2 linked regions of the Caenorhabditis elegans genome follow. The protein of the gene in region 2 interacts with the protein of the main gene of each other region in a pairwise test. Each region holds a gene or a part of one and is shown on either strand. Other genes may lie near its edges.

What was found. The genes of interacting proteins can lie anywhere in the genome.
Region 1: the proteins of xbx-9 (region 2) and sma-3 interact in a two-hybrid assay, tested with the Caenorhabditis elegans proteins (one large-scale study listed by BioGRID).

The regions. Positions count from the first base shown.
Region 1 is NC_003281.10:6,860,418-6,865,746, forward strand, and holds sma-3 (Dwarfin sma-3), read right to left. Parts: upstream 3,552-5,329; 5' UTR 3,547-3,551; coding exon 3,408-3,546; intron 2,950-3,407; coding exon 2,858-2,949; intron 2,732-2,857; coding exon 2,657-2,731; intron 2,608-2,656; coding exon 2,519-2,607; intron 2,461-2,518; coding exon 2,396-2,460; intron 2,279-2,395; coding exon 2,193-2,278; intron 2,146-2,192; coding exon 2,050-2,145; intron 2,006-2,049; coding exon 1,947-2,005; intron 1,625-1,946; coding exon 1,372-1,624; intron 1,310-1,371; coding exon 1,229-1,309; intron 1,137-1,228; coding exon 1,056-1,136; intron 740-1,055; coding exon 674-739; 3' UTR 557-673; downstream 1-556. Other genes in the region: cra-1 (N-terminal acetyltransferase B complex subunit NAA25 homolog), read right to left, coding at 5,097-5,204, 5,278-5,329. UniProt on the Caenorhabditis elegans protein: Involved in TGF-beta pathway. Plays a role in male tail tip morphogenesis.
Region 2 is NC_003283.11:12,732,253-12,736,551, reverse strand, and holds xbx-9 (XK-related protein), read right to left. Parts: upstream 2,370-4,299; 5' UTR 2,300-2,369; coding exon 1,833-2,299; intron 1,747-1,832; coding exon 1,599-1,746; intron 1,338-1,598; coding exon 1,181-1,337; intron 1,127-1,180; coding exon 573-1,126; 3' UTR 511-572; downstream 1-510. Other genes in the region: dhs-21 (L-xylulose reductase), read left to right, coding at 2,991-3,048, 3,882-3,991, 4,043-4,299.

The sequences.
Region 1 (5,329 bases), on a different chromosome or scaffold from region 2:
CATCGTTTGAAGAACTGCGAGACTACAGATAAAACCGTTTTGGCTACTGTAGAATGCAGGAATTCATCATCTGGTTTCACTACTGATGAGAAGCATACTGATAATACTTTCATGTGGAAAAGCTGGTCTGCAACTGAACCAGGACAGACCATCTTTGAAAAGTTAGTTACAGTTGCAAGTTGTTTTTTTTTAAATATGATTTCCAGAAGCATTGAATCTTGCCTTCAACTCTCAATTTCTCAATTCCCTGCTCGCAGTGAGCTGATCAATGACGTCTTCTGCAACTATGTAAAGCATCCAGAAAATGAAGGTGCATCCGATCTCTGGAACTATGGAGCTGTCTGTGGACGTTTCCCAGAATGGATCTAATAGTTAATTTTACGTATTGGATTTGTTATAAATAATCATTTGCTCAAAATTTTCGAGCATATTTTCAGAGTAAACAATTAAAAATCCCAAGAATTAGGGGGCGTTTTTGTCGTGACCGAAAAAAACTGCGAAATCATTCTGAGAATTTCGTTAAGTAAATGTTCGAAGAACATGACAACATTAAAAGAAATCTTCATAATTAAAAAGAACCAGCAAATGTAAAACATGTTACAAGTATCATCATTAGAGTAGGTAAATTCTGAATTCAGGTGGTTGCGAGAAGGAAAGCGTTTTTAACAAATCATTATGTCATTGAATTTGGTTCCATCAAGTTCGTCCTTGGAGTTTGCTTCATTTTTTGATCGATATACTGAAAATATTTCATTTTCACAGAAAACTCAAACAAAATAGGGTACTTTTCCGATTTCTGCCCCCAAAATGTTTTCGATATATTCATTAATGAAACGTTAACTTTTTTGTTATTTAGTATTGAAATAAACATTCACGTGAGAATTGAAATTGAAATATTGAACTTAAAAAATTGGGGGGGCAGAAATCGGAAAAGTACCCAAAATAGAAATATGGCTTAATTTTGGATGATATTTACAAAATGTACAAAAATTTTATAGAATATTTTTGATAATTTGATAAATTTCCAGATACGATTCCTTCTCAAAAAAACTTACAGCCAGTGGCACATTGAGCCGAAGTTCAAGCCAGCAAGGCGTGGATGTGACGTCTTGACGTGGATAATCTTCTCCCCAGCCCTGAAAATTTGTTTATCGAAGTTTCATTTGAAAATCTCACGATAAATTTAACAAGTATAAATCTACAAGGAATTCAAACATTTAGAACAAACCTTTACAAAAGAAATACGAATAAAACAGTGTTTGGAGAGTTCATTCAATCCATCGCTATCGTTGCACGACTGTTCCAACATCTTAATTTTTGACAATTGTTGAAGAATAGCATGAAAATAATTTTAAATTTTAAAAACCTCACTTGAAAAAATAAATTAAACTCAAAAACGCATAATTGACTGTGCGGTGGTATTCGGCAGACTTTGACCAGTGGCATGTTCATCATGAGATTCGTATTTTTGGATTGCACAAAAACTGGCATATCAGAGTTATTTGTAATCATAATATGCATTTGATCTTCTTTATTATCAAGCTGAATTCCTTTTCCAATATGCATCCGTGTGTTCTCAATTGTTCCATTTCGATTCACATTGGTTAATTGTCCAAGACATATTCTGAAATTTCCGGATTATTTTAATAAAGAAACCGGTAAGAATTATTATTATTCAGAACTTCTCGAAGTTAAAGCTTCGAATCAGCAATTTTCACGTTAATTAACTCGAAGTGTCCACTTTTTAATAACTATGATAATATTATAGAGAAGATATGTATTATACCGTATTAATGGAGGAAATTTAAATCAAACTAATAATATTTATATTTTGTAAGAACATTTTTTAGAAGTCCGACCGAAATCGAAAAAAACTAATTATTTTTTGGTTTTTTCACTTTTAAAATCAATTTATTTCTACTTTCGAATGTCTTTCAAAATCTTACCTTGTATTTGAATTTGATGGATTAGTATATCCGTCGACTGTAATGCTCAGATTCACTAGCTGAAACTCCAATTTTGTTTTGTTTTGAAAAATCAAAACCTCACTTTAAAAACTTCTCCAACTCTCGAATTCAACTCAAAATACGTAATTTGGGCCCAGGATTTGGGATGACGGAACGGTGGAGGTCGCTGGTGAACTTGCTGAAAATTATAATTTTTGCAAAAATGTGTATTGCAAAAAAACTAACCACTTCTCCTCCATCTTCTGAAAAAACCGACGGGCTCGGCGAGCTTGCACAAGATGCCGTTGAGCTTCCACTAGACTGCCAGATAGCTGCAATTTTATGTATTTTTCATTTAATTTCCCTAGAGAATTTTAAAGAGAGTTTAGTTGTTTTTTTTTAATAGAAGATTCTGATATGTTTAAACAATTTTTAGATCCAACGCTTACTGTTTGGAGATGATATTGGTTGTGGTGATGGCATTGAAGAATTTAAGCCTTGTGGTCGTGATAATCTGGAATTTTATTCATTTTTGAAATGTATTCCAATTTTAAACAACTTTCAGAACAAACCTCTGATAGTGATATGGATTAATGCAGATGTACATGGTTTTGGAACTAGATTCATATGGGTAGGAGCATGTATCAATTGAACGTAATTCCTGAAATGAACATTCAAAAATTTCAAATTAATATATCCAATTAACTTACATGAGGAGAACTTATATCCGGCCACCGCCATACTCGACAGTAAATCACATGTGGAAGACCTTTCTTATGGGATACCTGAAAAGCCGGAAGTTTGGCGTCAAAAAGTCGTTATTTCAAACCAAAGTGTTATTTTTGAAAGTTATCACAGTTGTCTGATTAGCGAACAAATTTACGTTAAGCAACCACAACGGCGCCACATACCTGTAACCGACCGTCTAAACTTTTTGCTATCGTAATGCATCTTGAGTTTGTACATGGGTTTGCTAGAACACATTCCAGATCTTCGAGGGTTCCTGGAATTTAGAATTTGAAATGGATCGGTTGAATTTCTTTTTTTTTAATATTTATGATCTAACTTATAAATAAGGTGCACTTTGATTCATGAATCGAAAAGGGTCATCGGAAAATGTTAATCATAATATTATATTGTATCCGTAACAATATGCTTAACATTCGGATGGGTCTCGCCGCGCCAATAGTATTTTCGAATACATTCGAAAATGTTAAGTTTGTTTTTTGGTGCTTTCTTCTTACTGTTTTTATAGTTTTTTGCAAGTTAAAAAAAATGAAAATCATAAGAAATCGTAAGAAAAATTAGACTAAGAGGAAGGAGGCTCAAATATTTCTACTGTAAATTTAAAGGTAATCACAAAAATAGTTTTGAAACTTTCATAAGCGCGTCGAGACCCTTTTTCAGAAATGTCCCTCCCTAAATTATTATAAATTCCTTTAAAAAATATATTTGACTAACCACATCCATTATTTTTCTTTTTTAATTTTTTCACCAATGCCTCAACAGCCTTCTCACACCATTTTTCTTCGTCTTCTCCAATTTTCCAACCTAAAAGCTTTTTGACAGCTGGACCATGCATATGCAGTAATCCGTTCATTTTGACTGAAATTTTGCTCTCATTTCAAAAAAACTAATTCAATAATTATTATCGATTTTTGTTTTGCGCGATAAGAAATAGTAACAGGTAACAGAAACAAAAAAAGTGGGTAAACTGAGCGGAAAATGAATGAGAGAAAGAGAGAAACAAGGCTAAAAGTGAATGTTTGAGTAAAGGAAATGATGAGATGATAAGTGATAACAGGGAAGGCGGAGGAGGTAAAGAGAGACTGAGAAAATGAAGATGAACACAAAGAAAACAAAAATGAATCGTTCTTTTGTTTGCACTTTTAAATTCTTTTTTCATGACATGACACCGTTCTTTTTAATTGAACAATTTGAGTTGGGATGAGGGATGTTCCAGACAAAACGTGGCAAGTTCTCACATTTTGGAAGAATGCCAAAATGTTATTTTCTTTTCTGATCAGAGAAGATTTCCATATATATTACATTTTAATTATTTTTCGAATATTTCTATTTCAACATTGTAGTGAATTGTCCAAAAAATTCCAGATTTCACGAAAATTTGTCACTTTACTAAAACTATTCAAAACTTTTTTTTTTAATCGAAGTTTTTATTATGATATTCGTTCATGGACTTTTCGAGTAGAAATTCCCACTGGCAATACTCCATTTAAAGGCAGAGTACTGTAGCGCCAGTGGGAATTTTGTTTAAATACACATATAATAGTTGCCACTCTTTGACATAAAATAAAAAATTTCAAAAAAAATTTTGAAAGGTTTAATTATGATATTCGGTCTTTTTGGCACCATAGGAATAGTTTTTAACACTTTCCCCACTGGCACTACTCCACCTTTAATCATCTCGAAAAAATATATGGATTTGAAAACATTGTCACTATGATCTCATGTTGTTTATGTCATTTGCTCAAAATGAATTTCTATCATAAAAATGTTGAATAACGTGAAATTGAAAAAGTATTTGCGAAACCCGGATGGAATCACATCAGACTGGGGCAGTGTTGGTGGTGACCTTTCCCCACGCCCTGCAACCGATATAAAATAGTGTCCGTTGTGTTGGGGGATAGATGTAGGTAGAATAAAGGTAAATGTGCCCTTGTGTTAATCTTTGCGTCTCTTCATGGCGCAACCCTCTCTCAATTTTCCCAATTTCTTAGTGCCTTTGCGCTTATTGGTCACATCGGTGACCGCTCGTTGAAATAGAATGAAGAGGGAACAGGGGACAAAGGATGGTTGGGGACACAGTTAGCAAGAAAAAAAAAAAAAGTCAGAGAGCAATTTATTCTTTCAAAAACATGAACATAGTGAGAGGGCGAAATAAAAACAGTTGAAATCGGTATTTTGGAGGAAGAAAAACGTCATCGGGGGAAGAAAGAAAAGGCGAAAGATTGATCTGTAGAGATCCAACGATGATGAACTCAAATGATTATGTTTAGAGATGGGGACAAACAATTCGGGGAGCTACTACAAATTTGAAAAAAAAAAGAACAAATTAATAAATAAGGAGCCTAAAAAATAAGGAGCCTAGATGAACAAAAAACAACGTCTAAATATTCTGAAACAAAAAAATTAGAATCTTAATTTGATAGTTGTGTGCATATCTTCACATGTATTGAGAAAAGATCTTTGAAGGCGAGAAGCAACTGGATTATGCATACCTTCTAATGCAGCTTTAGCCTGAAATATTTAGGTGTTGAAATTAGGTTTAAACTCTACATATATGTATAAATATATCATATATCTAACGTACCCCTCCAAGATCTTCTCCAATGTTACTCGGGATGTACTCATCTTCAAGTGCC
Region 2 (4,299 bases):
TGTACTTGAGAGAGCCATGGCCGCGGCCGCGACTGGCGCGTCCATTGTTTGCTCGATCACTCTCTCTTACTTTCATTTACTCTCTCAGATTTCAATTTCACTCATCTCTTTCATTTTTCCATCTTGTAGGTTAAGGAAGTACGGGGGGAAGTACCTAGTTACTGCCCCCCAGGTACTGACCACTGTCTCTGCACTCTTTGTTTATCAACACGGAGGTGAGGAAAACCGCTAGCTAAGCGGTGCCAGCATGTTGCAATAGGTAGCAAAAGTGAGTGTACACTGAGAAATGTGTACTTTTCTTTTTCCGCATTTTGACCTTTCTAGGAAATTGAGTACTTTTGGCGTATGTTAAGTGATACTTAGGGAGAGCATTAAACAGGGTTAGTTTTTACTAATTAAAAAAAAAGCTAAACACACATAATAAACAGTTATAATGAGTTCTAAATCATAACTTTACTGTCGTAATTATGCATTTACCGGAGTTGTTTTTCATTTTAACTTTTGAAATTTGTTAACAGGGAGTTTATTTAGTGAAAATGAAAAATTCAAATTAACTTAAAACTCTTAAGCTCTTAGTTCACTTGAGCTGCAGGATGTCCGTTATCATATGCCATTGATGGAGTATAGACAATTGTTGTTTGCATGTTTTGTGGAAGTTGAAGCATACCAGGAGCGAATCCGATTCCAGGATACATTGGTGGAGCTTGTGGATGACCATGAGCTGCACCATGAGCTGGCGAAGGTACTTGGTGGGGAATTGGCATGGGTTGAGGATGTTGAGCGACTGGAGCAATAGCATGATTAACTGGAGGATTTGGAGGTGTTGGTGGTGGTGGACTCTTTTTCTCTCCGGTATCCATTAGCAATGGTTGATTTTGGGTTGCGATGAAGACCTTGTTCTGTGTGGCGGTTGGATTTCCAGTTGGGTGATGTTGACGACGAATCCATTGATCAATGGCAAATCTTGATGAAACGGTTAGGAAGAAGGCAACTAGCATGAACAGGCTCATGAACAAACGAACAGTGTCAAATGTCAGAAGTTGAATTGCCAGTGCAGTGTAGTATACAGTTTTTTCATCGTCCGAGTTCCAAAGGTATGGCGCGAAAAGTTCGGCGATTTTCACATCTGAAAAGAATACGATAAAACCAATTAAAATTCAATTCAGTTGCAAAAACTTACAAAACTCAAACCATTGAGGAATATTCATTACAATTACAGCAGCTGCTCCAAAACCAAGACGGCTACGTGCATCATCGACAACTGGATCACCAGTCAGAACTGCCATGTTTGTTCCGGCTGCTGGTTTTGGTTTGCACATTAATCCAACACACAAGCACTGGAAAACATTTTTGATTTTCTATATTTAAATTTCATTTGAAGGTGGAATTGTTGAATTACTGTCAATAGATATGTGTAGGGGTGTAGAAGTAAAGTGCAAAACAATTACACTGAAAACGATCTTTAAATAGGATCACACCACTTGTTGGCTTCGGTTAAATTTTCTACTATTCTTTGGATTTTTTCACACTTTGTTTAATACCTCACTAATGTATAACTGGGCACTGATGTCCACCTTTAGAGATCAAAAATAGATTACCACTAGAAGCTCGGCAATGATTCCCACTGTGCACAAAAGGTAGGTAAAAAACAGTGCAGAAGCAGGAAGTGGGTTCCATTGGGATGCGATGAAATGATATGAACCAGAGAGTATAGCAGCAAAGAAGAGCACAGCAAAGTAAGATGTCCTGGAAAATATCGGAGGCATCAACTATTCATTTAACAAAAAATGTTATTCAAGATTTTTGCTGTGTCATTCTAACCATTTTCTTACCATGAATCACAAGGATTAAAGTTTTGTCTTTTCCTTGCAATTACAATCAACGCCGAGAGAAAAATCACAGATCCAATGGATGTAGTGAGGACTGCTGTAGTGTAAAACCAGTTGAAGAACATCAGAAAAACCATGTACCACCATCCATAAGCTCCAAGCATGATACTGTAGATAGCCAGTGCAATCTTGAACAGAGATGACAGTCCAAGTGGAATGTAGACAATAGTCAGAAAGACCTTCGTGATATCACGCTTCATTTTCAAAGAAAGCAGAAAGAAAACTGCGATGATTGAAACTTCAATTGCGGAGAGTCCAGCTCCAATTGGTCCTCCGTAAAATGCTTTCTTTGTGTAGAGTTCATCAGGAAAATCACAGCTTATCTTCACTTTTTTCTTCACAGTTGTTGAATTACAAAAAAGAGTGGTAAGTAAAGGAAGACCCGGGACTGGGTCCATGTCCGTCGACATGGTTACACGATCTTTATATCACTTCAATAGTTGGGATTTTATTGAAGCTGAGATTGAGAATAAGAAATGTGGCGAGTTGAGTGGCTAGATTGAACAGGTGAAATGCCATGTTGCTATGGTTACTCGTCACGAAGTTTCAGCTGTTCTTGGACGCAGATCTTGTGATATTGAAATTGGTTGTTGATGTAAAAAAAATTAAGACGGAGACACTAACGAAGCTAGCCAAAACAAACTTTTTACGGAAGGTTGAGCTTAATGTTAAGTGGGACATATACGTTTGATGGTACCTGAAACTACCAGGAAAGTATGATATTTTGCAAGTCTTTGAACTTTTGGGATCATTTTTGCTCTTGAACTCATCCTCTAATATATATCATAAGCAGCAAAAACAAAGTACTCGATTTTGCTGCTTATGATATACTATTTTTTGAAACGAGCGTTTTAAAGAAAATTGTGTACATTGTTTCGGTGCTCAATAGTTTCATTGTTACATACTTTGCAAAATGAAAGGGTTTTCCCTGTCGATCTCGAAATAGAAACCATTATGACGATCATCAATACACAATTGGACGCAGATTGTTAGAGGAATGGCATTGATAACAAAAATAGTCACAATATAAAAGTTGATCGTGTTGGGTAGAATGGGGTAGATACTACACATTTTCTGATATTCATATCATCTGACGAAACAATGCCCGCCAATTACGATTTCACTGACAAACGTATACTTGTCACAGGAGCAAGTCAAGGTAAGTCTTGAGATGTTGAAAAAGTTAAGATGGGTTGTTTCAATACAAACCAAATACACTTGTTTTGGGTTCCATTTAACAAATATGAAATTGAGATAGCTCACTACAGGAAATAGACTTGATATTTAGACAGAAAGTTATGTTGAGATAAGTTTTTGTACCACTCGGAGTTGGTGCCAACTTATTGCCCAACTTTTGACCTATAGTTGAAAACTTCACGGAAAACGTCAAATCTCTTTTCCGACGATTGTTCTATGTTTTGAGTTTAGATATGTTTGCAAGGTTTGAATTGAAGTTGACCAGGTTTTCCCTGGTCTAGTATAAGTTTATTTGTAGTTTGAAGTAAGGAAATGTTAAAAATTATCTGCTCAATTAAAAAAAACCATTAAACATTTGGAGCCACTGAATCAGTTTTCTGAAATCTCATGAAGATTTGTACTTTTTAAGTTTTCAAAATGTTTAATCCATATTAATTTAACATTTCAAATTTAGGCCAATGTGATAAAAGACCGATGGTCTCTCTGATTACTTCCGGTGTAATTATGATCTAGTTCAAATGGAGAGGAAAACGTTGATATACGATAATATGATAACACTATAATCTTTAATCAAAAATTTGTTGTATCATCAACATTTTATCATTCCGTTTGAAAATTATAATTATTTTACGATTATGTTTGAGGAAATTTCTGGCATTGAAAACAAGAGTACATCCTTCCTAGTCGGTAAAAAATATATTACGCGAACAAAGCTAAAAATAGAATAAAAATCGTTCATGAAGACTTCCGATGGGGTGATTGTGAATCATACATCACAATTTATCACATTTGCAGGAATTGGAAAAGAAATCTGCCTTTCGTTGGCCAAAGCTGGAGCGCAGGTTATTGCATTCGCGAGAAATGAAGCAAATTTGTTGAGTCTTGTCAAAGAGACTACTTCTTTGGTAAGTGAAAATATAAAATATTACACCAATCTGATTAAATTAATATTTCAGAGATATACAATAATTCCAATTGTTGGAGATGTGAGTGCCAATGAAGAGGTCCTTTTCAAACTTATCGTACCACATTTCCCAATTCATGGTCTTGTAAATAATGCTGGAATTGCAACAAATCATGCAATTGGACAAATTACTCAACAATCAATTGATAGAACATTTGCAGTCAACGTAAGGGGACCTATTCTCATTGCACAATTAGTTGCTAGAAACTTTGTGGATAGACAAATCAAAGGATCAATTGTTAATATTTC